3 linked regions of the Rhinolophus ferrumequinum genome follow. The protein of the gene in region 2 purifies or fractionates together with the protein of the main gene of each other region. This does not show direct contact. Links are inferred from orthologs where the notes say so. Each region holds a gene or a part of one and is shown on either strand. Other genes may lie near its edges.

Region 1 (10,576 bases), on a different chromosome or scaffold from region 2:
TCTTCAGAACAGTTGTAGGAATTGACGCTCCCACCCGCGGTGTCGGAGAGTATCTTTCCGGGAATGCTTCAGCACAATTGCTCCATCTCCTGTCTTCCAGGACATTTCTGTTCTGCTCCCGTCCACGTTTCTGTGTCTGGCAGATGCGGGCATCTTGGATAGCAGGGTGGTTTCTCACCTCGGGAATGCTCCCTGCCCTGTAGGTGTCACCCCAGACCCCAGGGGTGGACAGATCGGTGTCTGGAACAATCTCTGGCTTACGAGTAGTCAGCCATGCGATCATGTGCTGACCTCTTGAACCTGGCATAGAGTTCTCCATTCGGGGAGCAGTATCATTTGTCTCCCCACAACACACGGAAATTCACGTCATCTAGGAGACAGGGTCAGTGGAAATCGTCTGTTAATACCACAGGTGGGAAACCTGTGCTGACGTCAGGTTTCAGCACTGGTGACTTCAGAGGCCCAGGAAAGGGCCTCTGGGTTCACACAGAAACCGGAGCCGCAGGCCTCCCGGCTCCTCGTGCTGACCGGCTCCTTCTTTCCCAGGACTCTTCTCAGGGGAGCTCCCAGAATGCACCCAGGAGCTGATGATTGACGTCACCAAGAGCTACTACCAGAAGTTCTTGCCCTTGACACAGGTCTGATGTCTGCCTCGCGTGGGGCATTCGCTTGGGCTCTCAGATGAGCTGGGGCGGTGCGTCAGTCGGCATCTGCGAAGAGCTTTTGTGTCTTTGACACCTTCCACCCCTCCTTTTCGGTTGTTCTTGGGTTTTTTTAATTCTTTAGAATTTCTCAGCCCTCCGTGGCTTGAAGCTCTTAAGACTTTAATAATAGAATGTCCGGAGGAGTTGTCTCCAAATGCTGTGCTTAAAGTGTATCTATTAACAGTCGCTCATGCCATTATCTGTGGGACAGGCTCCTCTGCCCCCCTGCACTCCTACCCTGGGCGCTGGGTGGGCGCTGGGCCCTGCCTGGCACACGCTGAGAGCTCTGTCGCAGCACAGAGGGTGTGGGGGGGGCAGGGGTGCTGCTCGGCGTCGTACGCTCCCCAGCCCCACGGGCCAGTTCCAGCTTCCTGCTGCGTCGTCACAACTTCTCATCATCTTGAAAACAAAAGTGTGTGGCTTTCCAGAGCGCAGAGTGCTGTTGGCTACAGAAGCCTGAAGGATGGGTGCTTAGCGTTCCTTCCCTGATGACCTTAACTGTCTTCTAACTGAGGGTGACTTTCTAGCGTTCTGTTCCAGGGCCTTTAGTTTTCACTAATAGGGTGGCCGGCAGCACCCGGATTTTAGCTTTGCAAAGTCCGGGTTCGAAGTCCCATGTGGATGGACCGCTCTGGCAGCCGCTCCTGGCCTCGCGTTTGGGGGCAGCAGTTCACGGCTTCGACAAAGACGCAGCATTGGCGAACCTTGTCCCCTGGCCTGGAGCCAGTCACCTCCCCCTGCATCTGCCGGAACCTGCATGTCAGACCGAAATGCCGACTTGGGCCCAGTCACGTGCACATGCGGGGGCCTCTTACAGTCGCTCTGTGGGCACCGCACCCCGAGCCCCAAGTAAGTGAGGCTGCGAGTGCCGTTGGCATCACCTTCTGTTGATGGCACAACCCTGCCGGCTCTGCTCTGACCTCTCGGTTTAGACGATGGACATGGACGTGCAGGCCCGAGGACGGCGGCCTGGCTCCGCTCCGACTCTCCTGCCACGGGGGGGACAGCTCAGCCTGGAAGCCGGATCTTGGCTCAGTATCCGGTTGTGGGGTTTGCAGAATTGGCTAACGGAATGATCGCCACTCATTCGATGTAAAACTGGTTCCTGGTTTGTCAGTTTTTTTATGTTTGTACATTAAAAGATTGATACATGAACCGAGTCATTTGAAGGTGATAGCTGTCCCCCTCCAGTGATGGCTTCCTGTGTCTCCCGGGCACTTTGCTCCGTGCCCGGTGCCCGCTGCAGGCTTTTCAATCACTGGCCCGCTCCTGGCTCACACCAACCCTGTCAGGTGGTTGTTGCTCCATTTACAGGGGAGAATGTTAGGTACTGGGGTACAGGGGCTGCCCCAGGTCTGGTTCCACTGCCCAGGCCCTCAGCTCTGCCCTGGTGAGACGGGACACGCCTGCCCCTGGAGCACACCTGCTCTGCGTCCTGTGCGACACGAGCAGTTTGTGATGGGTGCAGGTTCTTCAGCCATTTCCCGGCCTCTCCGCCAGCTCCTTTCCCCTTTCGTGCCACCAAAAAGGTGAATCTTGGGGCTGGCAGAGCTCAGGTGCCCCCTAGGCTGACGGAACACCCTTTTGCTCCCTAGAGAAATCTTCCAGGTGATGCAACACATCACCGTCCCGTCTGTGTGTGAATACCTCGCCGCTTTATGTGACTAACTGTCCATTCTCTTTTCAATTTTACTTTTGCAGTTTTATTGAGATATAATTGACATATAATTGACTATCCAATTTGTTGGTGAACAACCCAAATTAAGAGAAAGTGGTGTGGGCCGGCCCAGTGGTTCAGGCAGTTGGAGCTCCGTGCTCCTAACTCCGAAGGCGGTTCGATTCCCACATGGGCCAGTGGGCTCTCAACCACAAGGTTGCCAGTTCAATTCCTCGAGTCCCGCAAGGGATGGTGGGCAGTGCCTTCTGCAACTAAGATTGAACACGGCACCTTGAGCTGAGCTGCTGCTGAGCTCCCGAATGGCTCGGTTGGAGCACATCCTCTCAACCAGTAGGTTGCCGGTTCGATTCCTCGACTCCCGCAAGGGATGGTGGGCAGCGCCCCCTGCAACTAGCAATGGCAACAGGACCTGGAGCTGAGCTGTGTCCTCCACAACTAAGACTGAAAGGACAACAACTTGATTTGGGAAAAAGCCCTGGAAGTACACACTGTTCCCCAATGAAGTCCTGTTCCCCTTCCCCAATAAAAAGAAAAGAAAAGAAAGAGAACATGGGGCGTGGTTTTTTATTAAATTAATTAATTTATTTTTTGAGCCTCTTAAATAGAATTTTAAAATCTTTAAGTCATTCAAGTACATGATTCCAAAAGTGCCATCCAGGCAGGAAAGCAGGGACAATACTGAAGTCGGTGGACCCATCCCGCGTCCAGCCCCGTATTCTGCTCCCCAGAGGCAGCCGCCGAGCAGGTTCTGGGCTCTCCTGCCAGGCGGTCTGCGTGCGCACACGGGGTGTCTCTGTCGCACTCACACCGGTGCTGCCGCTTTGCTCTGGCTGCTGTGACTCGCTGTGTCTTAGAGAGGGCTCCGTACTGCCACACACAGGATTAGAAACAGCCAGGTAGCCTCCTGACTCCTTTCCGTATATGAATCCCCTACTCCTTGCAACCACTGCGAGGCAGGTACACCTACTCTCCCCAGGAACAGAGGCTCAGGCAGGACCTCCTGTCTCCTAGTCACTGGCTGGACCTCCTCCCTGTTGTGACGCCTCTCAGTGCCCTAGATGTGTCACCCCGCCAGCCCTTGCTGTGCAGAAAGCTGAGAAAATGCGTATTTGGGTGTTTCAGGCAGGCAAGGAGAAGGGGGTGGGATGGGTTTGGGGTGAACCATCCAGCGATGTCTGCCCCAGGCAGGAAGCCTCGTGTCCCCTCTGAGAGGGCAGTGTCCTTACACTGTGCCCCGTGGTCTTACAGCTGCAACTGGGGTCTGAGTCGTTAGATGGGAGCAGGTTTCTCCGGAGAACTGTCTTGCTTGCAGTTGTTAATAGTGTCTGAAGTTCTGTACCGTGTGGCTGGCGCTCTGTAAAGAATACACTCACTAGATGAAACAGAAATCCAGTTAGCAGGCTTTGCTGCAGGTGACAGAAATCCAGCTTGAAGTGGTTTAAGCAAAAAGGGGCGTTTTGTTGGTTGGCGTCTGTGGTGGCTTCTGAATCCCGGAGTGAGCCAGTTCACTCTGCCTGAGGCCACAGTTCTTAGTCACTCTGACCCACCTGGGTGCGGGCAGACTTGAAATGACTCAGACAAGCATTGCTCCTACACAGTGCGTCCTTGGGAGTTTCTCACCGTAAAGAAGGGAACTTGGTGGCTGGGGAGCTCTGTCTCAGCATCCAGATCTGGCTGGTGAGAGCCCACAGTGGGCCCAGGACCTGGCGCCTTAGCCACGTCGACGCCCTGAGCCGCTGTCCAGCACACCTGGGCGGCTGCAGTGGCGGGGCAGGTCGAGCTGGCTCATCTCCGGGGCAGCGTCTGAGGAGCTGCAGGGCTGGGGAGCTGCAGTGGCACTGGCAGTGGGGGGACAATATGTCCAGAGGCCTGCTGGTTTCAAAACAGGTGTCAGCAGAATGCTCTCCCAGCCTGGACCCATTCCCGTAAGTCCATGGTCACAGAAGCACTTGTCGAGCCCCCAGGGGCGGCGCTGTGCTTTTGTAGACCGCGCCCTGCTGCCCTTCAGGGCAGGGAAGATAGAGCCGGCTCATGCTGCGTCGCTCAGTCATGCAGTGAACAGTTAGTTCCCTGAGCCTCTGCCGAGTGCCAGGCACTGCCCTGGGTCCCGGAGGCACAGTGGAGAAGGAGATGGAGCCAGGCCCTGCCCGTCGGGAGCGGACAGCTTAGTGGGAGACACACGAGCGGTCTCTCGTGGAGGCTGAGAGCTGCGTCCCAAAGGCCATCACAGTGCTGAAGGGCGTGGGCGCTGGACATGGCAGATCAGCTCCCAGCTCTGCACGTCCGGACAAGCTGTCTCCCCGACGAACCTCAGATGTCTCGTCCATCAAATGGGGAACATGTATAGGGACTGTGAAGGTCAGTTCCGTGCACGGTGGGATTCGGCTGTCTTGCTTTTTGCCACCAGTGAATTAGAATTTAAATTCTTTGAGAAGTGGAACCAGAGCAAGTCTCCATAACTGACGATTTTTGCTGGCATGGTTTCTGTCTATTGGAGCCTCTGGAAAGGGAGACAACATGAAAAGAGAGTCAATCCTTGGATGGAAATACACATTTGGAATTTGAAAAAGCAGTCGAATTGCTATTGAGCCCTTGCTGAATGAAATCTAATGTCTGAGCCAGACTGGTTGATGGCTGTCCAGTCGGATGTGTGTATTTCTGAGTGGGTCAGTTTGGACTCAGACTGACAAGATGAAAAGGAAGCCTCGCTTCTCACTTGGGCTTGGACCATGGCTGTCTGGCACTCAGCTTCTGCCTCTGCTGCTGCAGAAGAAAAGCCGCTGGCTCCCTGGGAATCCCGAATTCACTGATCCTGGTTGGTGGGGCCTGACTGGAAGCTGAAAACAGACCGGCCGCCATGCTCTGTGCCTGCTTCCCCGGGATCTGCGCGGGACTGGACTAGGCCCAGGACCACAGGAGACCTAGGACCTTTCGGAATCATGGACACACACATCGCAGCTGCCAGCTGGACCATCTGGGTCACATACAGATGCCCACAGCAAAGGGTTTGTTCTCTGATGGGACCCTTGAAATCAAGCTGCTGACCGGCCGTTTCTCTCTGCTGCAGAGGCGAATTGCATCCTGAGTTGTGATCCCTGCCAAAAGCTGCCAATCGGGGGAGGCCACATCGTGGGGACTGTGACCCCTCCTCCTGCTTTTGACACATGAGCCTCTGGGCCCCCTCTGGGGAACAGCTCACTGTTCTGCTTCTGGATTATTTGCAACTTGGCACAGCGGCCAATGGCCTGACTCTGCCTCCCCACTTTCCCTGGAACAGACACTGGGTAAGGTAGGTTGATTACTCCAGTGTGGCTGTTTCTAGGAGGCGATTCGTCTTTTCTAGGCTGCTCTCTGGATAAAAGGGGGAGGAGGTTATGGAGAAGCTTTTTGAAATTGTTGAGAATTCAGGATTTCATCCTCTCTGAGTCTGCGCAGGCTGCTGTAACCAAATAGCGCAGACGGGAGGGCTTCAACCGCAGAGATTGATTGTCTCTCAGTTCTAGAGGCCGGAAGTCCAAGATCAAGGTGTCAGCAAGTTTGGCTTCTCTTGAGGCCTCTGTCCTTGGTTTCTCCTGTGTCCTCACGTGGTCACCCCTCTGTCTGTGCGTCTGTGTCCTGCGCTCTTCTAAGGACACCTGTCATATTGGATTAGGGCTACCCTAAGGACCCCGTTTTATCTTAGGCACCGCTCTAAAGGCCCCATCTCCAATACAGTCCTGTTCTGAGTTATTGGGGTTGGGGCTGCAGCACGTGAATTTTGGGGGACAACAATTCAGTGCATAGCACATCTTGACCAATTCCTGAACACGTCTTTCTGGTTACTTGCTTTTATGCCTTTTGCGCACAGTCCTTCCAGATGGAAGGCCTGGATTCGAGTAAGAGGTGACTGACAAATGCAGACTTAGGATTGCGGATGGGCCGGACACGCTGCTTTTGTAACAGTGGAGCAAAAGCAAAAACCTGGCCCCGGGGAGCCTTGGGCAGGTGGAGGGCATTTCATATCTTTGTTCTGCAGAACTCCTCCTGGAAGCCCTCCCTTGAGCACGACCTGGGGGGCACAGCTGGCAGCACCATGACCTTACTGTCCACGCAGATCCCCTCCAGGTGCCATCCACACTCATGTGATGGATAAACTGGTATCCTGGGCAAGCAACACTGTGTGGAACTGGCTCCCATTGGGCTCCCGCAGGCTCCCCATATGCAGTCCCTCGGAAACCGAGGACTGGACCAGTTTCTCAGACTGGACTGGCAACCCCAGGGCAGGGCCCCATGATAGGAGGGAGGCGTCCCGGGGGACCTATGAACCTCTGCTGCCTGACTAGTGTACGTCCCTCCTGGGGTACCCTAACATCCCCAGCTCGTTTCTGGGGGGCTGCATGTGTCCTCTGGGTCACACTGTGTGTGCCCATCACCATGCTGGTTCAGGCTGCAGGTCAGCCCGGACTCCCTGGCCACAGCTGTGCTGTACCGGCCTCAGTGCCTGGGGTAAAACGACTCCCAGAGACCAAGGAGCAGGCCACCTGGCTTTCGAAGGTGGGCTTTTATGGTGAGCGGGGTTCTTTGATTTTAACTGGCTAATCCAGGACCCTAAGAGGTACTGAGATCAGTCCTGCAGGTTGGCCTGACCCTTCTGTGTGATCCTGGTGCAAAGGCACCTGGGCCAAGGGGTGAGCTTGCAGAAAAGGTAACAGCAGGCCTGAGGCTGCTCTCCTTACGAAGGCCTGCTGCGGGTTGGCCCTCGGCTGGCGCCTGGGAACTTGGACTGGGGGAGGCTTCTCACCGTTCCCTACAGGACGAGCAGCTCACTCTGCCTGAGCTGTGTGTGTAGACTGTGGTTTTGTTGAATACCTGCTTTCCTGTGGTAATCTGGAATCCGGTGTGCCCGGCAGGGGGCGCTACGTGAGCAGCCCCGGTAAAGCCCTGGGCACCGAGTCAGCTCCCCTGGTAGACACCATTTGGCATGTGTGGTCACAGCTCATTGCTGGGGAATTCAACATGTGTGACCCCACTGGGAGAGAACTCCGGGGAGCCTGTGCCTGCTTCCCTCCGGACTTGGCTTTCTGTGCCTTTCCCCTGGCTGATTTTGCTTCCTAGTCTTTCGCTGTAATGTCATCAAACGAGGAGGTGGCCTTGGGGACCCCCAACACAGGGCACAGGGGACTTCTGGGTGTCAGCAGCGTTCTTTCTCAGTCTGTTTACATGGGTGTGTCCAGTGTGTGAAACGTCGCCGAGCTGTGCAATTATGATATGTACACCTTTTCTGTACGTAGAATCAACTTCAACAAAAAGATGAAATAGAAGACTACACACCACGAGGATAAAGAATAATAACTTAATTTTTTGTTTAAACTCCCTTTTATTCAGCAAACGTTTGTCACCCCTTTTTACCTGGCGTTGCTCTGGGAGCCTGGGACATGGGGTAGGAGGGACGTCATCACCTCCTCTCAGTTTGTTGGGAGGCAGCTAAAGAGCGACTCAGAACGTGGGGGTTCTTGTTAGGCTCCATCAAACGCCTCGTGGGGCGCTAGGGACACAGAGAAGGGCTTCTGACTTGGGTGATTTGCCAGGGTTGCCACTCATGTATCTATGGAAGCCAGACAGTCAAAGGGGCAAAGGGGCCACAGCGGGGACCAGTGACAAGCTGGGAAAGTATGGAGGCATAGCATTGCCAGAGCTGCTAGCTTTTTTCAGGAAAAGCCACAGACCTGGATTTTTATGTGAGCTCTGTTGATTTTTGAGTGCTGTAAAATGAGTCATTTTAAAAAGGGAGGAGCCAGAGTTGGCCTCGGCCTACCGGTTGCCAGGCACTGTGCCAACCGGTCTGCTCCCTGGGCACTGGGAAATCCAGCCTTGAGCAAGCCAGACCTGCTGGCACGGTGGAGCCCTGCACGGTGCTTCTGAAACCTGTGTGTGTGTAGGACTCGTTAGGCAGATGGAAAGGCAGGTTCTCCCGGCAGGTCTGCCCTGGGCCTTGAGTGGGGTCTAACAAGCTCCCAGGTGAGGGTGATCCCGGCGGCCCCTGCACCGCGGGTTAAGTAGAGCTGCTCCGTAAGCCAGAAGGTTCCAGGAGCAGCCAGTGCTGGCAGGACGGGAGGAGGGGCCTTGCCCTGAACGTGCAAATTCCTGGCCAGCATCCTGGTTTTGCTTCGGTTTTAGTTTATTTGGGGTGTCGCAGGAGAGAGCTGATGGCGTGGGAGGCTTGTGCCAAGGCTCTCCCAGGCTACCTCTTGGCGCTGCCCGGTCTGTATCCGGAGGTTAAGTTCTAGAAGGCGGGTGGGTGTGGAGGAAGGTGTAGGGAAGCTTCCTGGAGGAGGTGCCTGTGAGCGCAGGAGCGTCCCAGGCGGCGGAGAAAGGGAGAAACCCCCCACTCCCGCTCTCCTCGGGTTGGCTGCCCAGCCACCCCACGTGGCTGCTGTGGGTGAGCCCCCGTCACTCAAGGTCGTGTGTCCTGCCCCGACCCCCCCAGCCCGCCTGCGTGAGGTTAAAAGGCTGCTGCGGGCAGAGCGCTCCCAGAGTGCCGCGCGGCGGGCGGGTTTGGATTTTAAATCCCCGCGGCCAATCAGTAGCGCGCAGGCCTTTGTAACGTTCCCGGCGCCGCGTTTGAATTCGAGGAGGAGCCGAGCGGTGTCAAACCTCTGGCCAGACCCTGCTAGGGCCGCTGAGCAATTCCGGGGACATGAACGCGGCGGCAACTGCAGGGAAGCTGGCGCGGGCAGGAGCCGAACCAGGGAAAGCCGGGGGCCCCGGAGCTGCAGCTCCCGGGGCCCCGGCGGCCGGCCCGCCGGCGAAAGAGATCCCGGAGGTCCTAGTGGACCCACGCAGCCGGCGGCGCTACCTGCGGGGCCGCTTTCTGGGGAAGGGCGGCTTCGCCAAGTGCTTCGAGATCTCGGACGCGGACACGAAGGAGGTGTTCGCGGGCAAGATCGTGCCCAAGTCGCTGCTGCTGAAGCCGCACCAGAAGGAGAAGATGTCCATGGAGATATCTATTCACCGCAGCCTCGCCCACCAGCACGTCGTGGGCTTCCACGGGTTTTTCGAGGACAACGACTTCGTGTTCGTGGTGCTGGAGCTCTGCCGCCGGAGGGTGAGTGTCGCTGCGGGGGCACTGGGGTTACTGGGGGCCGGGCTTGGGGCGCTCCGACCCGGAGCTGCCGGAAAAGGGGCGCCCGGGGCTAGGAGGTGCTGGGAACCCCGAGCTTAGAGGTGGGAAACGTCTCGGCCGAGCTTGGAGCTGCCGGGGGAGGGGGTTCCGGTGACGTGAGCCGCGGTCGTGCTGGCTGCTGGGGACGGTGGCTCCTGGACGCTGCGTGTGGGCGAGGGCGGAGGCCACTTGGGGGGAACCTTGGTAATGAACCCGAGGGCTTCCGGATTGCTAAAGGTGGAGTCCCCGGGAAGGGGTGCTGTGGACGGGAGCTTCCGAAGTGGCGTTGGATCTGGGAGACCGTGGGTGGGGCCAGACTTGGGAGGGTCAGCAAAGGGGTCTGCTGCTGCCAAGAGGCCGAGGGGAGCTGAGATAGGCGTCCTAAGTCAGGGAGCTAGTGGGAGAGGGGCTGCCCTGAACGATTGTGGTCAGGCTCGGGAGAGGCCAGAGGCTGGTTGTCCTGGAGAAGAAATGGGAGGGGGTCCTGGGCCTCCCTCACCTGATGCTGCCGCCGCCGCCCTGGGACCTCGGTGGCGACCCCCCATTTCCTCTCCCCTTCCCCCACGCAGTCTCTCCTGGAGCTGCACAAACGCAGGAAAGCCCTGACCGAGCCCGAGGCCCGCTACTACCTACGGCAGATTGTCCTGGGCTGCCAGTACCTGCACCTGAACCGCGTCATTCACCGGGACCTCAAGCTGGGCAACCTCTTTCTGAACGAGGACCTGGAGGTGAAAATAGGTGAGGTGCTGGGCGCTACAAAGTGGGGGTGAGGGGACAGGGAGGGGGTCGGTGGTCAGCAGCCCCGGCTGACGGCCGGCTCTGAATTTCAGCCTGCAGTTCTACAGGACATCTCTGTGGACTGACTGTGTGCTCGCCACCCAAAGTCTGTTTCCCTGCGACGCCACGTTTCTGACTCCCTGTCCCCTCCTCCTCCTCCCCCTACCCCTTTCCCCCTGATAGCCACCCTTCTGGTGTCTGTACCTACGAGTTTGTTTGTTTGTTGCTTTCTATTTTATATGCCACATAGGAGTGAAACAGTTCTTGTCCCTTTCT
Region 2 (10,635 bases):
TAGCTTAAGTTAAATAAATGATTATCATATCTGAAGTGGTGACCAATTTATATCCAACAAGAACAAAAGAGAACAAAAGGAAATGGTTCTAAATACTGTATTCAAATCAGAAATTGGTCCAGGGGACAAATGAAGCATCAAAATATATAATGATAGTAATGGAATATAACTCATTGAATAAAAAAGGAAATCATGAGCCCATGCTGCTACAAATAAATTATATAAAGTTTGATGAGGAATGAGATATTTACAGTTTCAAAGCACCTCCCCACAAAACACTTTTTTTTTTTTTTAAGGAGGGCGCAGCTCACAGTGGCCCATGCGGGGATTGAACCAGCAACCTTGGTGTTATTAGTGTCACACTAACCAACTGAGCTAACTGGCCACCCCAAAACGCTTCTTAATTACAAACGAGGAAAGGGTTACTTTACGATGGAGGAGACTGACAGACACTCTCTTTATCAAGTAATCAGTGATCATTGCCAGTAAAGGGAAAAGTCAAAAATCATGTGCCACCTGACAGGATGCAAAGAGAACACAGCTCAACTTCTTTGATACTCCTGCATGACCTGAATCTAATCATAAGGAAATACCAGACAAATGTGAACTACACATTTCTACAGAAGTGTGAACTACACTCTACAGAAGAACTGGCCTGTAATTTTCAAAAGCATCAAAATCATGCAATGGAAAGAAAAACTGAGAATTCTCAACTGGATCCATGTGATACAAAGAACATTATTGGGGCAACGATGACATAATTGGGGTCTGAGGGTTAGATGGGATTAACTTATTATGTGGATTCCTTGATTTTGATGGTTACATTGTGCTTATGTAGGAGAAAGTCCTTGTTTGCAGGAAATATTTGGGGGTAATGAGGTTATCACTTTGGCAACTTTTAAGTACTCAGGAAGGAAGTTCTTTGTAACCTGGGCAATCTTTCTGTAAGTCTGTAATTGTTTTACATTAAAAAAAAATCTCTAGTGAATAGAAAATGGCAAAGTGCTGGGATGTCACTTCTGTAGACTATAGAGTCTAGCTTCTCTCTTGTTCTCTCTTGCTTGCTCATTATGAGGAAAGCCAGCTGCCATGCTGTGAACTGTCCCAGTGGAAAGGCCCATGTAGCAAGGAACATAGGAAGGTCTCTAGCCAACAGCCAGTACAGAACTGAAGCCCTCACTCAATCCAACAGCCACAAGGAAATGAATCCTGCCAACAAACACAGGAGCTTGGAAGTGGATCCTTTCCTAATCGAGCCCCATGATAAATGCAGCCTCAGCCCACACCTTGACTGCAGTCTATGAAAAATCCTGAGTCAGAGGACTCGGCTAGCTGTACCTGGATTCCTGATCCACGGAAACTGTGAGATACATGCTTCTTGTTTTAAGCCACTAAGTTTTAGGGTAATTTGTTCTACAATAATAGATAACTAACATACAAAAGAAAATCTAGAAAGAAACAGGAAGCGTAGTATAGTCTCAAAAAAAAAGTTTGGGTGCCAAGAACCTAATCCTGCTTCTGCCACTTGTTAGCAGGTTGACCTTGGGCAAGTTACATAACCTACCTGAAACTGTTTCCTCTTCTGTAAAATGAGTATAAAAAAATAATACCTATTTTCATAGGTTTAAGGTGAAGATCAAATGTGATACTACATGTGAAAACACATTACATATAAATGTTAGTTATTATTTGTTCTCTCAGGCTTAGTTTTTCTTCTGTAAAAGGAAAAGGTTTGATCATCTCAAAAATCCCTTTGAGGGATAACATTTTTGGGGGGTAGGGGGATAACATTTTATGATGCTGATTTTCCTATAAAATTTCTTACCAAGTATACCTCTTAAATTTAAAACATCAGAGTAAGTGGTATTATTCCTGGGGGGGGACAGCAATTCCACGAACAGGCAGAAAGTGCAACTCACATGAACTAGTAAAGGATATAGAAAATGTTTCCACTCTGCTAAAGAAGGCTTCTTTACTTGTAGATTCCAATGGAGGTTGCTCTGCTTGGGGTGACCCATTAACTGACTGGAATGTGGCAGAGGTGTCCTTCCTAAAATAAAGAGGCAGAACTGTTGGTAATCCCTTCATGGCATCACTTTGCCTAAACACTTTGCACAGTTTCCCTGAACTTCATATTATCAATCACACCACTCTGGAGTTTAACCTTTCAAAAAAAATCATTTTAATCATGTTATTCCTCTGCTTTACATTTTCAATGGTTTCAAAATACAGTCGACCCTCTGTGTCCATGGGTTCCACATCTGCGGATTCAACCAAACTGTGGATAGAAAATATTTGGGGAAAAAAATGTTTTTGCTGATGTGAACTATGCAGTTAGGCCTAAGATGGTTGTTTCGATACTGAACATGTACAGACTTTTTTTTCTTGTCATTATTTCCTAAACAATTCAGTATAGTTACTATTTACATTGCATTAGGTATTTTAAGTAATCTAGAGATGATTTAAAGTATACGGGAGGATGTGCACAGGTCATATGCAAATACTACACCATTTTATATAAGGGACTTGAGCATCTGAGGATTTTGGTATCTGAAGTGGGGTCTTGGAACCAATCCCCATCGGAACCCAAGGGACGACTGTAATTACTAAATAGAATCCAAATTCTTCAGTTTGGAATTCAAATCTCTTTACAGTTTGGCCATACCTAAGTTTCAAGCAACTTCTGCTTCCACAGTGCTCCCCTCATCCTCTACTGGCAAACTATTCCTCTAGTTTACTCACTGTACAACAATATTTTGCGTAACTTTAGTAAACACAAAATATGACTCAAGGCTTCTATGCATTATACAATTCGGACCACCTTAGAAATATAATTCTTTTAACAGCAGAAAAAAAAATCTTGATATTTCTGCCTGGATTAACTCTCAATACCCACTTCTCCCCCAAAAAGCACCACTTTGAAAATTCAGATCAAAGTAAAGGTCTTCTGGCAATTTCATGAAAAAAATTCAGGGAGAAAAAGTCGCAAAAACAATTCTCTTATTTTCAGTCAAAGGCATTTCAACAGCACTTGGGGAGTGGTAGAGGGAGGAATGGCTGAAGACAAAAGTCATTTTAATAAAACCAGGATAACACCAACTATTATTACTCAAAAGAAATTTATTGTAGGAATCCTTCTCAGACAGTCACAGAGAGCTTCAGGGAGGTGTGGTTCTTGGAAAAAATTCAAAGGATTCCAGTAAACTTGGATGGGGAAAAAAATGACATTTATTTTACTAACTTCTAATTGAAATTTAGCACTTCCTTCAATTATGAATGAAAGTAATAAATAAAACCATAGTAGCATCAGCAGTACCTGTGAATTTGTCACCAATGGAAATTACAGATATTTTGTCACCGACAAAATGTTGTCCATGTTTTGAAATATTGTTTATGCTACTTCAAAATTATGGTAGCTAATAGACCTATAACTAGATATTATTTAACTTTTTAATAAAGAAGCATGTTACTGCATCACTTTTCTCTACTACCTTGATAACTAAATTCCAATGTAATGGGTTTCCTACTGCATCACTTTTTTTCTACTACCTTGATAACTTCATTCCAGTGTAATGGGGTTTCCTTTATAATCCTATGTAATTTACTTCATACATTGAAAATTATTATTCTGGTAAAGCTTATTATTCATAAGCTTTACCAGGCTCTCAAAGGTGTCTACGGCTCAAAAAAGGTCAAGAAGCCCAAATAAGAGAAGTCAGGTAGGCATAGCTGCTGGTCTTTTTTTTTCCTTTCCCCCGCCAAAACGGACTTATGGCAAAATTCCGCCCGTTGGTGCGGAATCCAGTACAAGCCGAGGAGATTAAAGCCGACTAAACATAGTAACCCCAGTCTCTTTCAGATCTCGCGACGAAGCCATCCATCCTCACCGCGGTTGTCGCCCACCCACGGGATCTCCCTAGGCCTGCGTTACCCAAACCCTTTCCACTCTGCCAGCGCCGGACCCAGGGTGGAATAGCGAACTCACGCTTCCGCGCCTCCCTCTTCCAGAGCAATTCCCTCATCTATCAGCTGCCGAATTTTTTGGGGAGTCCCTTCTGGGGAACGAACAACTGCACCCCAATTCTTTTCAACTCCCGCGGCAAACGCAGGCTCCTCACTGGGCGCCGCCATCTTGGTCCGTTGCCGAGTTGCTTCCCCGTGGGTTTGAAGGTTCAGAAACTTCCGTTCTGGGCGGTTAAGATTCTCCTTGCGGGCAACCTCCCGCGCGATTGGCCACGCGCCCCGCACGCAGAGTCTGACCGCGGAGGCCCACGCCTTCTTGGCCATTTTAGAACGAGGTAAACCCCAACGGAAGGGCTCTGGTGATTAAACCTAAATTAATCGTCCCTTTATTCATGAGCTTATTTGGGCTGATAAAGGGATTTTCAGAGGGCTGTCTCTCCAAATTCAGCAGGATGAGGGGCCCAATTTAGTCCTCAAGTAATTAAGTTATATGGCCTTCCTAAATTAGGTCTTCTTACAAGTGAGGAATTGGCGACTCTCACTTGAGAGTAAATAATTTAGAATCCTTCTTAGAAACTGTGTTACAGGTGGGTTTAGAAGTCTGTGGCATTTGACATTATTGACCACTCCTTCCTTTGTCCAACAAATATTTATTGAGTGTGTCCTACTGACACTGTCCTAGGGGCTGGCAGTGACAGCAGTGAACAAAGGAAACATAGTTTAGAGGACATTGACATCAAATAAATATATTTTACTATAGTTTTGAAATTATGATTGTAAGTGCTTCAAAGAAGAACCAAGGGTATAAAAGGAGGACCTAATTTAGTCTGCAGAGTTTCCTCATAGTGTCAGGTGCTGAAGCTAAAGCTGGTGAGAGTGTGGGAGAGACCTGCTCAGAATCGTACAACATCCCAGATTGCAAGGAGTTTGTTTCATATAATAAACTGAAAAAGAAGACTGTTGTGACTGAGCAGGTGGGCAAAGATGAAAGTGGGACCAACCCTCCCAGCTCACTCCCTCTGGGGTCCTTACTTCAATAATCTTCCCGCCTACCAGGACCTTTAACCTACTGATCTAAGCTCCTTTTCAGTGTCCCTAACGCCACCCTCCTTCTTATTTCTTCTCTCCTTAGCCAGCTTACGTTCATTGCCAATCATTGTCATCCTTCCTTGGTAAAATGTGAATATGGACTGAATTAATATTAAAGAATTATTGTTAGTTTTGTTATATGTGATAGTGGCATTGTGATTACGGTTTTTTAAAAGTCCTTATAAGAGATACATCTTGAGGTTTTTATGGGTGAACTGGTATGATGTCTGGGATTTGCTTGAAAATTCTTGAGGAAAAGAATATGTGTGGAGGAGTAGATGAAAGAAGATTGCGAAATGTGTTTAATTTTTGGATTTGGGTGATAGGCATTATATTATTTTTTCTACTATTGAGATGTTTGGCAACATCATAAAAAATAAATGAGCTAAAAATAATATATTCTTCTGAATATCCTCTCAATTTCCTTGAACCTTTCTTGCTTTATAATACTTCTTTGGCAAAACCTCAATCGCAGTTGAGTTGAGTTCAAGTCTCTACTAGTCTGCTCCTGCACCCAGTTAGCTGATATAGTTAAAGAAAAATTTACGACATGCTGATTTGTCTCTATTTTCTCGACCCCAGTGGCCCTTAATTCTGCCCAGTAATCATACTATACCGCGTTTCCCCGAAAATAAGACCTAACCAGAAAAATAAGCCCTAGCATGATTTTTCAGGATGACATCCCCTGAACGTAAGCCCTAATGTGTCTTTTGGAGCAAAAATTAATATAAGACCTGGTCTTATTTTCGGGGAAACACGGTATTTCCCTAGTCCACTTCCTCTCTCATCTTCATATGTGATTTTTTCTATCTTTCTCCTCAAACCTTCAACGTCTCCACCTAGCATCTTTCCCCCTCCCATCCACAGATGTAGCTTGTTTCCTATTTCACTTAAAAATTTAAGCAATCAGAAGACTTCCACAAATTTCCATCACCTCATCTATTCTCTAGCATATAGAGTATTGGGAATTTTTTAATTTCCCACATTCTCATGGTAACAGCTAGAAATCAGAGCCAGTTTTAAGTTCAATTGATCAATAACTCATCGGAGTGAACATGCTTTTGCAAGCCCAATCAAGGACAACCCTTTGATGCTGAAAATCAACCACTCATAAAGAAATTCACTTCAGTAAGCATGCCTCTGAATGCCAACCAATCAACAATAGTTTCACTTCTACATATGAGGTCAACACACTTAGACCCCTGAAAGTTCACCAATCCCTGAATTCCCATTTCTCAAAATCCAATATAAGATTAGCAGTCTGGTCTGCTTAAAGCCTGTGCCTGACCAGCATGGCTGTCACTGTCTCTAGTAAGCAACGAATTCAGCTTTGTCTTTCATTTCCTATATTGAGTAGTTGTCTTATCATCCTCTGATAATACTTTACCCTCTCTCCTGTAACTAAAGATCAGTGGTTCTCAAACTGGTGCATTTTTGCCTTCCAGGGGGCATTTGGCAATTTCTTCACCCTCCCCTTTCCTCCTCTCCCCCTTTGTTGTTGTCTACAGTGTTTATCTTCCTATAACATAATATATACTTTTATTGTTATGTTTATTTCTCTCCCTGTCCCCATTAGAGTATAATTTGTATAATCTTCTCAAGAGTAGGAATTTTTGTCTTCATTTTTGTATCCAGTGCTTACAACAGTGCCTGGAACAGAGTAGACACTCAATAAATCGTTTTAAAATGAATGTGTATAAACTTTCTAAAGGATTTGGACTTTCTCCTAAAACCCAAACACAGCCATCGAAAGACCTTAAGCAGCACAGTAACGTGAATAGTTGTGCATTTTTGGAAACATCACCCAAAAAGCTATGTGAATAATGGATTAGAGCCAAAAGAGGATCTGGAGTGACCATTAGGAGGTTGATAAAGGAACCCCTGCAGAAGATGATGATGGGTGTGGAGACAGCTGGACATGGGAAGATTCAAGACACATTTTGGAGCTAGAAACAACAGGACTTGGTAATGGGGTATATATATATAGCAAGTGCGAGAATCAGTTTTAAGGAAGACTCTCTGATTTTGGCCTAAACAAAAAGATTTGGCCTAAACAAAAAGAAGACTCTCTGATTTTGGCCTTTTGTTTGTATACATCCATGTATTTCCAGATCCACTCAGACCTTGACATTTAGAGAAATTCCCCCCTTCTAACCCCTATTTCTTTATTTGTTTGTTTGTTTTGTTTTTTGAAGTGAAAGATTGTTCAGGTACCGATGGCAACTCCATCTTTGCTTGAATTTATTTGAAGTCCTTGGATTTTTTTTTAACACCTTTGTGTTTTGTGTTGTGTTTGTAAACTTACATTCTAAAAAGACATTGTGCTGTTTTGGGGGTAAGAGGTCTTCACTCTTAATGTTGCCAACCCAGGGGACAGAAAAATGGCTGTGGGTTAAAAGAATAAGGAAGTCCTGTTAAAAAAATTATAGCAATGTATCCAAGACACATTCTATAAAAAAGAACAAAAGCCATCTGCAGAATATATTCTGTATAATCCCATTTATGTACAAACTAAAATAGAATACCTGTGTAGGTCCACATATGTGTATGTAAGTACATAGAAAAAGATCTGGAAGGGTGGATGTCAAACTGTTAACAGTCTTTTGGAGTGGGGAGTAAGATTGGATGGAGATTGAAGGGGAGAGATTCACTTTTTCTATGTATTCTATTTATGAAAGATTACACAACAAGGATGTATTCATTATTTTACAAATTAAAATTAAATTTAAACACACAGTATAATTATCCATATGGCTATTGGCTAATCTTGGGACTATTACAACTTTACATATTATTAATATTATCTTAATTCACCTCTCCCTGCTCAGTAAAAGAAAACCATTTCTTAAGAATCTACTTTGTGTAGTAAATATCTCACGTTTGTATTGTACTTTATGGTTTGCATCTATTTCTTACAACTCTAGGGGTAAGGTCTTACTTAGAATTTTATTGGCTTCAAGTAACAAAGCCAATTTAACTTAAGCAAGAAGGAGAATTTGGTAGAATAGTATTTCTTAAAATCGAGTAATGTTCATTCTACCTTTTAATTTTGTTTATCCTGTTTTAAACAGAAAAAAAGCCTCCTCCTCAATGTTGACAAGTTATTTTTTATCGAAATGCATACATTATTTATAAGCTCCTTACGCTTATAGTGCTTATAGAACATAAAAATCAGAGTAAACTTTAAATAACCATAAACTCAAAACAATTCACATTAGTAATATTAATTTACTCTGATGAATGATGTTGCTTTGCTGAACTACGATTACCAATGTTGGAGAAAAGTAGAAAATATGTCCCAGTTTAACTTCTCTATTTAATCTGCTTCACAAATCTTTGCCAGAGAGCATTCCTTTAACGTCAGTTTAATGAGATGTCACTTGACATCTTCATAAAACTATCTTGTTCCCTGGTAGTTAAGTTAGTGTTACTGAAATCTTTATCAACTGAGTCTATAAGCCAATTATTGCTGGAATTGGGAATAGGAAGTAATATCTGGACTTCAAGATCAATATTGCAGATGTCAAAAATATCATCTAGCTTTAGCTCAGAACTTTCTATTAGATTATTGGAGGAAATAAATACATAGATGACTCATTCATATAACTTTTTTTTTTAATTTATTGGGGTGACAATTGTTAGTAAAATTACATAGATTTCAGGTGTACAATTCTGTATCACATCATCTATAAATTACATTGTGTGTTCACCACCCAGAGTCAGTTCTCCTTCCATCACCATATATTTGATCCCCCTTACCCTCATCTCCCACCCCCTAACCCCCTTACCCTCTGGTAACCACTAAATTACGTTCCCCAGATTAATTTTCAAAACCCCATGGCCATCTTGTGGTTACTGATTGTTTTATAATCCCTTCACCTTCCCCCTTACCCCCCCCCCCCCCGCCCATCTAGCAACCCTCAGTTTTTCCTCTTTGTCTCCAAAACTGTTTCTGATTAGTTCATTCACTTATTCTTTTCTTTAGATTCCGCATATAAGTGAGATCATATGGTACTTATCTTTCTCTGTCTGACTTATTTCACTTAACATAATGTTCTCTAGGTCCATCCATGTTGTTGCAAATGGTAAGATTTCTTTCTTCTTTATGGCTGCGTAATACTCCGTTGTATAAATGTACCACATTTTCTTTTTCTTTTTTTTTTTTTAAATTTATTTTTAATTTATTGGGGTGACAATTGTTAGTAGAATTACATAGATTTCAGTTGTGCAATTCTGTATCACATCATCCATAAATCACACTGTGTGTTCACCACCCAGAGTCAGCTCCCCTTCCATCACCATACATTTGATCCCCCTCACCCTCATCCCCCACCCCCCAACCCCCTTACGCTCTGGTAACCACCAAATTACGTTCCCCAGATTAATTTTCAAACCCCGTGGCCATCCTGTGGTCACCGACTGCCCTCCAATCCCCTCACCCTCCCCCCCACCCCCCACCCCTCCCGCCCATCTAGCAACCCTCAGTTTTTCCTCATTGTCTCCCAAACTGTTTCTGATCAGTTCATTCACTTATTCTTTTCTTTAGAATCCGCAAATAAGTGAGATCATATGGTACTTATCTTTCTCTGTCTGACTTATTTCACTTAACATAATGTTCTCTAGATCCATCCATGTTGTTGCAAATGGTAAGATTTCTTTCTTCTTTATGGCTGCGTAATACTCCGTTGTATAAATGTACCACATTTTCTTAATCCAGTCATCTACTGATGGGCATTTCGGTTGTTTTCATGTCTTAGCTATTGTGTATAGTGCTGCAATAAACATAGGAGTACATAAAGATTTTTGAATTGGAGTTTTGGATTTCTCCGGATAGATACCTAGGAGTGGAATTACTGGATCATAGGGTAGTTCCATATTCAGATTTTGAGATACCTCCATACTGTTTTCCATAGTGGCTGCACCAATCTGCAATCCCACCAACAGTGCACAAGGGTTCCCTTTTCTCCACATCCACGTCAGCACTTGTTTGTTGATTTATTGATGATAGCCATTTTGACTGGGGTGAGGTGGTATCTCATTGTGGTTTTTATTTGCATTTCTCTGATGGTTAGTGAGGTGGAGCATTTCTTCATATGTCTGTTTGCCATCTGTATGTCCTTTTTAGAAAAATGTCTCTTCAAGTCCTCTGCCCATTTTTTAATTGGGTCGTTTGTTTTTTTGGAGTTGAGTTGAGTGAGTTTTTTATAGATTTGTGATATTAATCCCTTATCAGATATATCATTGGCAAATATCTTTTCCCATTCAGTAGGATCCCTTTTTGTTTTATTGATGGTTTCCTTTGCTGTGAAAAAACTTTTTAGTTTGATATAAAACCACATGTTTATTTTTTCTCTTACTTCCCTCGCGCGAGGGGATATATCAGTAAAAATCTTACTCTGGATAATGTCTGTGAAGTTTCTTCCTATATTTTCTTCTACGTATTTTATGGTTTCAGATCTTACATTTAAGTCTTTAAGCCATTTTGAATTTATTTTTGTATATGGTGTAAGGAGGTGGTCCACCTTCATTTTTTGCATGTGTCTGTCCAGGTTTCCCAGCACCATTTATTGAATAGACTGTCTT
Region 3 (10,341 bases), about 12 Mb from region 2:
ATGGACGTGAAAAAGACGGCACAATAAAAAATACCTGAGGTGTCTAACTTGAGTGACTACGTTGATGGTGAATACCAGAGACAGAAAACAAAGGAAAAGATATAAGATGAGTCAGGGGGTCAAGAAAGAATAGTACGCTTTGTTTGAGGCCAAATGATTCAAAATATGAAGGACATTCATGGAGAGGGGTCTGCAAACAGGTAGAAAAATCAGACCTGTGGATATGCCAGGAGAGGTTCCAGCTACCCATGACTTGAACTGGAATAAGCGGGGTGGAAAATAATCTTGTTTTTAGTCATCTTTCTTAAATGTATGTGGAGCTCACATGTATTTCGATGTTTACTATTAGCAGTGGGTCTTTACTTAGAAGTTGGTGATGTTTTTGTGACCAGAAATATGCTGTAAGAATTTAACTCTTGTTAATCAGCCTCTGGTAAAATCAGTTTCACTATATGGGGTTTCCCTTAAAGCTGCAGTTTCCAAGAACCGATCAACGAGGACGTTGAGTGAGGACTTCCTGTATAAGAAACCAGAGGAAGACAAGTATGGATGGATCTGTGGAAGCCAAAGTGTAGAGGGTGTTTTAGGAATGAAATGCTTGACATTCTTTTGGTAGGAAATGGGGAATTAGAAGGTCTTCGTGCCGGAACGTAGCATGGCTGAGTTTCATGGTACAAATAATCCCAACTAATGTATGAGTTGGGTTCCAACTGTCCCTTCAGTATTCAATGTGCCAGGCACTATGCTAAATACCCCAGATATAGTAATAAAAGACACAGTCTCTGAATTCAAGGAGCTCACAATCTGTCAGGGAGGAGGAGATAGAAAAGGGGAAAACCGTAATGCCCTATTGATAAACTTTAGTACAAGTAAGTATGTGGGATTCCTAATCCACCTATGAGCATGGGGCTGGGTTGATGTGTGGAAGGGTCGCAGAAAGCTTCCCGGGAAAAGGGATTTTAGGACTCTTTTCTAGAACTCTGAATAATTATCTTATACAGACCGGGTAGAATTATTTGAAAGTCAGTTGCAATTCCATATGGTCCAACCTAATAGAACATTACAAGGGTGTGCAGATCGCCCAGGGCAGACCTCAAAAGCTTCATTAATTCATGACTATCTTAGAACAGTGTTTTCTGTCTTATGGGTCCCCAAAGCAAGAGGCTTATGACTTCTCAATATGCAAAATCTGAAACTGGACAGATTAGATTTTTAAATCGTTCCCTCTTCTTCCCTCATTCCCTTCCTTTGCTAACTGCTCTGCTCCTTACATCCTCTGACCCAACCAAGGCCGGTGCCTCCCCTGAGGTCCTCAGGGTTCTCCCCAACTTGAATTACCCCAAACTCTCCATTCTTTAAGAGCTGATTTGTGTTAGAAAGCAGGCAACCTGACTGAATTAGTTAATGCTGATGTGTAAATGACACTTAAGCCCTGTTTACCCTCCCAGAGCTATTTGGGTCTTTAAGAGAGAATACAGGGAATCTGGTTAATTTCAAGCTGTTAAAAACAAGCCCTTTCTGTATTTGTTTGTATAGGCCATTTATAAATCAAGAGTTCAGAAGGTGGGGCTACCCATTCTCTGTTCCCCATCGATACATATTTAGTGACTTTGGTAAGTAAATTTCTGCTTCCTATTTTATATCTAGTTACATTTAACATCATTAAAATATTGTTTATTTGGCATTTGATGGACCAAAAGGAGCTTTGAAAGTTTTTTCTAACGAATTCAAGTAGAGGATTTAAAAACCTGCTCCTTCAAAAAGAATTTATGACTCATTGTCCTAAGTGAAAGAAATCATGGTATTATTTCATCTCTTGCCTGCATCTTTTGAATACTAAGCTGTGAATGACTCTGTATAGTTATAGCATATGTGTAGTTATTTTTCTAAGAGAAACTAGTTTTGCAAAAAAAAAATCCCGCATAATATATATTGCATGATTTGGATTAAAAAAACAAATTTAATTGAAAAATCTGTTTACTTGGATCCTCTTCCTTAACATACACTATTTCAAAACAAATAAGTCTTATTGTAATATGTCATAATGCTAATACCATAAGTTTTAAGGCCATAACATTTAAAACTTTAACAGAAGGAGTGGTTCATTAAATCAATGGTTCCCAAACTCAGGTCACCAGACTGACCTTGGGTAATTATATCATCACCATCATCATCTTCACAATGTTTATTAAGTATTTAATTTGCAACAGCATATGAGATACTATTATCATCCCCATTTTATAGATGAAGAAACTGAGGCACTGAGACATTAAGTAACTTGCTCAGTTACCCAGGTAATAAATAGTAAAACCAGGATATAAACTCTGGCAGTTTCAGGTTTCCTCCCCACCCCTTCCCACCCAATTTTGACTCAGTACATCTGGAATGGGCCTTGGAATCAGAATTCAAGTCCCCAGGTGATTCTGAAGCAAAGACAGGTTTGGGAACTATCGCATCAAATGAATTTACTTTGCACGGGATAGCTAGTTCCTTACTCATGTCTTAGAAATAACAGCTCATATGGCTAGTCAAGTGACGCAGTACCCTTTCACTTCATTGGTAAACACATATGTTTGGACACTCTTCAGTGTTCTTCAGGCACAATGCCGAGGGGTCTGGTGTACTTTAGGAAATAGTGCCTGGCCCAAAGCACAGATCCGCAGAAGGCAACTTCAGGAGGCACATAGAAGGCACGTAGGAGAAGCTGGTACTCAGGGAGAGATCACAAAACCTGGGTAGAAGGTGCAAAGTGGGCTTCCTAGGAGGGGTCATGAGCTGGATTTGGAAAAAGGAGCATGATTTGCGGATGCAGGAAAGGAGGAGGGAACTATTTCTGTTAGGGGAACCAATGTCAGCAAGCACTCATAAGTGGCGATCCAAAGCCGTTATCTGTAGGCCAAATGTAGGCCCAATAGACCTAGATGAAGTTGAGAGATCCTTTTGGAAAGTGGCTGGAAATAAATTGGGGAAAGTAAGTTAGGACAAGATTATTATGGTAGTGCCAAGTCAGAGTTTGGACTGAACCCTGTAAACAATGGGGAGCCACTGAAAAGTTTCAAAGGACAAAGATACAATGATGAAGGTCACTGGAAAGAACCATCTGCAGTCAGTCACTGCACAGGCGGCTGGAAGGGCAGAGATCAGAACCAGGAAAACTACTCAGAAGGTTAAAGAAACAATATAGGTGTGGGGAAATATCATAGTACAGGAGTGGATATATGCCGATTTGGGAGTCAGGTGATGTCACTGACCAAGCTGAGTGATTTGGAGCACATTGTCTAACATCTCCAAGTCTTAGGTTTTTCTCATTGGAAAATGGGTGTGATGATGTCTGCCACCCAGACTGAGACAAAATAAAAGACTTCTCTATGATGGGGACTAGCTCTGGGATGCAAGGTCAGTGGGTCAGGATTTGGAGTCTTCAGGCCCTTATGACTTAGAAAATGTTAGTGTTATCAATAGCAGTAGGGGAGTCAGTGGACCACCACTTAATGGTAGGTGAGGAAAGAAAGGGAACTAACAGTGAGTTTTCAGAAATTATGCTGGAATTATAAAGGAATTACTCTTCACTTAGGAGGTAGATCTTTTTATCCCTATTTAACAGTTACTAGAGCAAAAGATAGTAGTTTGAGTCTGAGTATAAAACAAAGTCTGCCTAAATCTAAAACTTGGCTTTTTGAACTTCATCATATCATTTGGGACTTGTAAAGTTCTATTATTTCACTGGTTTTGGCTAAATAGTCTAATCTGAGACTATTTTGCATTTTGATTCTGACATCTATCAAATTAATGATCCCTCCTAACTGTGGTCATCTTAAAAAGGGACATCAGTTTTGCTATGATGGCGGAGAAAGATGGAGGGAAGAGGTTTTGCAGCGGAAAGTAGATGCCCTGGATCCATCAGGTACGAGGCAAGAGTATCCGCCCAGAGTGGAAGTAGTGTAGATGCAACCTGGCTGTGAAGTGCATAAAAGTCAGTGGAACAGTCTAATTGCTAAGAATGATGATGTAGACGGGTGGAGAGGAGGGGATATAAGGACGTTAAGAACCAGGAATTGAGGTGGTGAGAAGTGGAGGCACAAGTGGACTAAATACTGCCATTAGGCAAAAATAGAAGGTGGCGGAAAGAAATAGTAAAGGGAACGCTGACCCACTCAACTAGTGTATTAACTGTGGGAAGTCACAGACAGGGAGACCATATTGAATGATGAGAGTGGAGAAGACAGGTTAGGGAAGATGGAGGTAAGTTGTTGTCTGAGGAAAGCACAGGTTCCAATAGGCGAAGAAATGAAGATATAAAAAAAGCCATATATGTTCTGTGGAAAGCGCTGTCCACAGGAACAAGTCTTCCATTTTTACCTTCAATCTAGTCTTACCATGTGCCCATAAACAAAGTTGTTTCAATACATCTAAATTTTCTTTTGACTAGGTTGTATAGAAGTATAGGATATAAACCAAGAATTGTACATCCTTGCACAGACTGAGATTACATACTTTGGTGACAAGTGCAGACAACGCAACACTTCTGAAGATATTTAACAGATGTTGACAATAGGCCACATTTCAATAGGAGGAACCACATATACTGGTGGGACATGTCTCCTAAGAGAAGCCCATGTGACTCAGGAAACTGGACTCTGGGGGTGGCCCTCTGCTCAGGGCCTAGGATTGCTACCCCAAGGTGTACCAGAATATCTGTACTGTTTTAGTTTAGAGCAAAACTAAACTAGAGGAAGTTCCACTCATCGTGTCTTTTGCCCAGATAGGATCATTTGAAATCCTTCCTTGCTTGTTCATGCAATTAGCCAGCTCTCTGGCATGTTGTGAACCATGGTACTCCAAGGCCCATGCTTTCTCTCTGGCACCGTAGCAAGCCAGGTGCTGCCAAAGTCTGTATTTAGAGTATTCCAAGTCCCCAACGGTGACAGTTCAATTTCAAGTGAATGCAATTAACTACTTCAGACTACACGTGGAAAAGATAGTGTTTTAGTCACACCTCATGCCATCCTTTTATGTAAATGCTTAAATTCTATCCTTGATTTGTCTTTACAAAGAGTAATGGTAAAGTGATTCTTTGTCAACATTTGCCCCCTCCCCCCCCAAAGAGTTGGTTCAAGTTTGAAGCGGGAAGCGTCGTATAGTTTTATCTTAGAACCGATTCTAAGGAGCGAGAATGAGGCTCAGAAAAGCTCAGGCTTTCAGGTGCTGATGGCTAAGGCCTCAGGTGAACAGGGGCTCCAGAGCGGACTACACGCTTCTCCGACGTCTGCGCCTGCTTTTCAGAGCCACTTGCCCATCTCCGCCGGTCTCATCAGCCAGCCGGGGATATTCTTTGGTAATAGTCCCGGTCCGGGGAGGCACGTTGATTGGGTGTAGTTGTAGCCGTGTTCCAAGTCGGTTCCGGGTGTGTGTGTGTGCGCAGGAGGAGGTGGAGGACCCTCTCCTTCGGGGTGTACTGGGCCACTTTCTCCAGAGGTCCGTGTCCCGAACCTAAAGCGGTGACCCCTCCTCGTTGGGTCGGAAGTGGCGGGAAGCCGGTCGTTAAGAGGCGGCCCGCTGTCGAGGGAGGCTGTAAAACCTGGAGGAGGACCCGGTCCGCCCGGCCCGGGACGGCGCGGGGTTCCGGGCAAGGGGCCCCGGCTTTCAGGTAGAGATCCCCCAGGCGAGCGGAGCCTCGGGCGGCGCGGGACGGGGGACCCCGGGGCAGTGGCCGCGGCGGGCGGGAGGTTTCCGGGCCCCTCCCGCGCTCGGGCTGGTGGGGAGATGGCGGCGACGGTTTCCCGGCTCCCCCGCCCCGGACGCCGATGGCGGTGCGTTCCGGCCCTCCCCCCCCAGCCTCTCCCCCACGGTAGCCGGAGCCGGTGAGGCCGGGAGGGCGGGGAGCCGGGGAGGAAAGGCGAGAGGGCGGAGGTTGCGCGGTGCAGGCGGCGGCGGCGGGAGGAGGGCCGCGGGCGGGCAGGGGAGGAGGAGGAGGCGGGAGCCGTGTCGCACGCAGCTCCAGGCGGGGCAGCCCCGGCGGCTCAGGGACGCAGCCAGACCTTGGCGGGACGGGGATTTAACCGGGGCCCAGGCCCAGCGACCAGGTGGAGACGTCGCCGGGGCCATTACGGCAGCAGGGACATGCGGGTGAGTGTCGCGGCGCCGGGGCCGAGGAGAGGGGCGGCGCAGGCCCGGCCCGGAGCCGCGGTGTCGCAGTGACTGGGGCCGCGGCGGCCGAGCCCAGGCGCCGGGCGAGGCCTGAGTCGCCGAGCCGCGGCGGGGCGGAATGGCGGCCGGGCAGGGGGACTCGTGGGCGGAGGACGCTGGGGGCGGGAGCCGAGCGAGCGGGGCCGGCCCTGAGTCACGGCGGCCGGCTCGGGCCTGGCCGGGCCGCGGCCCCGGACGCGGGCTCGGGGCGGCCAGGCCTGGACTACGCACTGGGAAAAAGCCCGATTCATCGCGCCGGCGCCGGCGGCCTTGTGGCGCCAGCCTCTTTCCCCACCGCGACCGGGCTGGGGCTGCAGAGCTGGGCCGGCGGGCGGCGCTGGGCAGTTCGGCCATGCGCGCCTCGCCTCCCCTCGTGCGGCGACCCCCACGGGGCCTCGTGCCCTTTCCCCTCGGGATCGCTTCCCCCCCGAGCGTCGCGTTTCCCCCGACTCGTGCTCGCCAATAAGTAGTGGGCTCACGCGCCGGGGGAGCCGCGGAGCCGGCCGCTCTGCTTTCCGGTTCCCTGCCCGCGGCTCTCGGTTCCCCGCCTGCATTGTTGCGACTGTGCAGGTCACTATTATTGGGTAATAGTCGTCGTTTTGCTCCGTTCCCTCGGGGGAACGGGCCGGGTAGGCGCGCAGGGATGCGAGTGCAGCCGCGGGACCGGACGGAGCCCCCCGGCGCTCGCGCGTCGGGCCGGGCCCGCGCCGCGGCTTCGGCGCGCCCCCGAACCTGCGCCCGGCGGGAGCGCGCGCTGACCCAGCAGGTAACCCGCGCGCGGCCCCGGGGCGCTCTCTGCCACCTGGGGAGCGCGGCGCACTGTAGACACGATGATGGTCAAGAGAAAGGCACATGCTTTATGAGCGTTCCTGGAGACGAATCTCCAAAGTTAAGGGTTTTCTCTCTAGCGATCCCTGTGCCGAAAATAGGATTCTGTTTTCCGATTGGATGGCTGCTGTTGCTTTTAGTTCGTAATTGGGGTTAGTGGTTAGCGTGCAAATACGGAATTGCAGTTAACTTAGGTATTTATTTGCTCTGTGTAATGGGTCTTCCCCGGGTGACATTAAAACAGTCCAAGTTAGTCGAGTAAATGGTCACGCTGTTTTTGAAAGGCACTTATTGGGTGACAGAGGGGAACTAAAGTCACTTTTACTTTAAGCCCTGAGCTTCTAGGACCTAAACATATCTTTACACTCAGCAGATGGGTGTGCAATCTTAAGTGTAACATTCCCTTTTGTGGCCACCCTGTCCATCTGACTTTCTGAAACCCTGGAGAGTTTGTGTGTTGTGTAGCAAAGGAGAATGATTAAAAAGCAAGAGCAATCATTGGGTTTAGAAAAAAATAGGATATGAGATTTTTTGTTTGTTAAAAAAGGTTCTTGGATATTAGAAAAAATTTTACTTGAAAGTTCTGTTTCTGCTTTCTATGGCAATTGGACATCGTTGCATCACATTTCACATTCCGAAGCTGCAAACACAGGACTGGCTCCCTTTAATTCTATTATGACCATTTTTGGAGGTTTCAGGAGTGCTCATTAAGCTTAAGAAGGTTGGCTGAATTATTCTCTAAAAATGTTTCAACTTTTTTTTTCTCATTGGTGTAATCTTTTAAAAACTATTTTGCCAAAGGAAAAAAAAGACTTTAACTATACTAGAACTTTTAGCTAATTTATGAAATCCACCCTCCTTGTGTAAGATCACAAGCTCAGGTCCTTGCAAGCATGCCCCTCCTCTCCTAATGTACTATCAGATAAAGTATCAAGAGGACCAAGGGACAAATGAATGCCTGAGCTGATACTGCAATTTCCTTAGCTATTACAGCTTCTTGGACTCCTCTGCCTCTTACTGAATGTTATCTTGTGTCTTAATTGTCTCCCGTGCATTTCAGACTATGAGTTCCTCGAAGGGAGGGGATCGTCCTTAGTTATTTTTGCATCCCCAAAGTAGCATAGGACTTGGTCATGGGTAACTCAGTTGTTTTTTGAAGGAGTAAATCTTCTGGAAAAATTCCAACCTAATGTTTGACCACTTCTGATTTTGGCTGCAGAGAATAATCACTGCACTTACACTGGTTAATAAAGAATGCAAGCTTTAAAGAATAAGAAAAGAAAAACAAAAAAGAGGCAAGTTTTATTATAATTCTTATTGTAGTGTTCCAGTATCCAATAGAGGGCCCCAACAGAAAAAACGCTCAGGTTTTCTTGAGCTGTTGCAATCCAGGAAAGTGCCAAGAAAACAAGTTTTAAAACTTGAATTTGCTAACCCCCAGCTGGTTTTAAGGTGTAGATTTTGTCTATTTTTTAAGAAAAAGACCGAGCTCTTTTTCCCGGTAGATATTTGCACCCTTGACTTTAAAATGAAATGGCTTGATGGTTGAGGTTCTTGCCTATACGTAGACATGAGGCAACCCCAGTGGTGGTACTAGTCTGCTGTGACAGCTCTTACAGGGGGGACCATTCTTGGGTCCTGAGGACCTTGTATCAGAAGTTCACTCCTAGTTTACCCAGCGGGCATAGTGTACCTTTCTTTCAGCATGGGAAGTTAAAATGAATATGCTTTAAATTGAGGTACTTGCCATTCTTCAAAATTAAAAATTAGGGCCCCAAACACTTAGGAATGTGTGTGTATTCTTGGCTATTTCAGCCCTCCATAGTCCCAAAGCCATGGGCTTCCTACCCTCAACAATCGAGTCAGTCTAGAATAAAATGTCTTTTGGGGATGAATTTTGAACTTGTTTTTCAGATATGTTTGGAGAAAAGAGTGTACTATTTTTAAGGACCAATTCGAAGTTTGCCTGTTTTGTGTGGGTTTTTTTTTTTTTTTTTTTTTTTTTTTGATATCTGGGAGTTTCTCAGTAAGGTGTGCCCTTTTGTTTGCTTTTCAAAACTGAGAAATGAACATTATATGAAAAATAAATCAGATTTAAATAAAACCTTAAGTTTCTTCTATTACTAAGGCCTTCAAGCTCCCTGTTTATAACATATACGTTTAATAATGCACGGCATAAACAACATCATTATTATAACACTTAATAACTTGTAAAGTTTTTATTCACACAGATACTTTCTGGCTTCTAAAAAAGCTGTGTTTTATTTTTGCTTAGCCATAGAACGTTTTGCTTGGGGAAGAAGACATAGGATCTAGTGTGAGCTTAATTTTGCTGGACCTCCATTTCCTCATTTGTAAAAAGAAGAGATAGATGATTTTTAATTGACACTGTTTGAGATTTCCTTAGGCCTCAAAGCCTGTGGATTCCATGGGGATGTCATAGCTTTTAACATTAACAGCATTTGGAAAACTGTCCTATAAAGCATAATCTTATTGATGTTTGAAAAGCAGAGTTGTGAAGCCTAAGTTAGAAAGTCATTTAAATTTTTCCCCTTGGGGAAACTTGGACCAAGTAGGCAGAGTCCCCTCCCAGGCTTCCCACTCCCCGCTTCCGCGTCATTGCAGCACCAGTTCCCCGAATTTCCCACGCTGCTCTTTCCTCTCCTTTTACTCATGCTTCTCCTTGGTCTGGGGTTCCATGTCCCTTCCTGGCACCCAACAGGCTCCTGCTCCTTCAAAAAGGCAGGGCTCAGCTCAGGCCCTGATACCACCCCCCTCCCAACCCAGGCTAGGAGACTTCCCTGGGATCCCATGAACCCCTTAATCTTTTGACCGGACTTGGTGGTTTCTCCCACTAGACAGACCTCCTTTAGGGCAGGGACCGTGGGGTGCGTGTCTGTCCCCCATGTCTTAACACGTGGCCCACACTAACATTCGTTTAATTCCCACTTTGTTCATGAGCATCCTCCCACTTAAAATCTTCACCAAACCTCATCAAGGGTAGGCACTATTGTTTAGTTCACCTTACGGCAGGTAGGGTAAGAAACTGAGGCTTTGAGTGGGTGAGGTGGGACCGAGGAGGTGATCAAGCCTGAGGTACAAGAATGGGACTCCAGAGCTCCAGCTTTTAACCAGACACCCCTACATGTGGGATTTCTATGGTGGAAGGTGGCGGAGGAGAAAAGATCAAAATGAAAATGCTCTGATGCTCTAAGGATTGATATCTGATCATTGATCTTTACGACAGAGTTCATTCTGCAGAACTCGGTGGATTACCAAGAATAAGCTTATACTAATTGGTCTTTTAGTAGCTGGTGGACATTGAAG

Evidence for each region. The genes of interacting proteins can lie anywhere in the genome.
Region 1: the proteins of ZC3HC1 (region 2) and PLK1 purify together in Homo sapiens (affinity purification with mass spectrometry; 3 studies listed by BioGRID and IntAct, counting the BioPlex papers as one, with this or other methods). This does not show direct contact. The link is inferred for Rhinolophus ferrumequinum from reciprocal best matches to the Homo sapiens genes ZC3HC1 and PLK1.
Region 3: the proteins of ZC3HC1 (region 2) and CUL1 purify together in Homo sapiens (affinity purification with western blotting; 3 studies listed by BioGRID, with this or other methods). This does not show direct contact. The link is inferred for Rhinolophus ferrumequinum from reciprocal best matches to the Homo sapiens genes ZC3HC1 and CUL1.

What each region holds. Positions count from the first base shown.
Region 1 is NW_022680357.1:17,554,778-17,565,353, forward strand, and holds the start of PLK1 (serine/threonine-protein kinase PLK1), read left to right. Parts: upstream 1-5,740; 5' UTR 5,741-9,058; coding exon 9,059-9,466; intron 9,467-10,092; coding exon 10,093-10,261; intron 10,262-10,576. Other genes in the region: DCTN5 (dynactin subunit 5), read left to right, coding at 547-644. UniProt on the Homo sapiens protein: Serine/threonine-protein kinase that performs several important functions throughout M phase of the cell cycle, including the regulation of centrosome maturation and spindle assembly, the removal of cohesins from chromosome arms, the inactivation of anaphase-promoting complex/cyclosome (APC/C) inhibitors, and the regulation of mitotic exit and cytokinesis.
Region 2 is NC_046309.1:16,462,959-16,473,593, reverse strand, and holds the start of ZC3HC1 (zinc finger C3HC-type protein 1), read right to left. Parts: upstream 4,177-10,635; 5' UTR 4,132-4,176; coding exon 3,986-4,131; intron 2,051-3,985; coding exon 1,939-2,050; intron 1-1,938. UniProt on the Homo sapiens protein: Required for proper positioning of a substantial amount of TPR at the nuclear basket (NB) through interaction with TPR.
Region 3 is NC_046309.1:4,749,095-4,759,435, reverse strand, and holds the start of CUL1 (cullin-1), read left to right. Parts: upstream 1-5,505; 5' UTR 5,506-5,647; intron 5,648-5,751; exon of another isoform or gene 5,752-5,861; intron 5,862-5,962; exon of another isoform or gene 5,963-6,126; intron 6,127-10,341. UniProt on the Homo sapiens protein: Core component of multiple cullin-RING-based SCF (SKP1-CUL1-F-box protein) E3 ubiquitin-protein ligase complexes, which mediate the ubiquitination of proteins involved in cell cycle progression, signal transduction and transcription.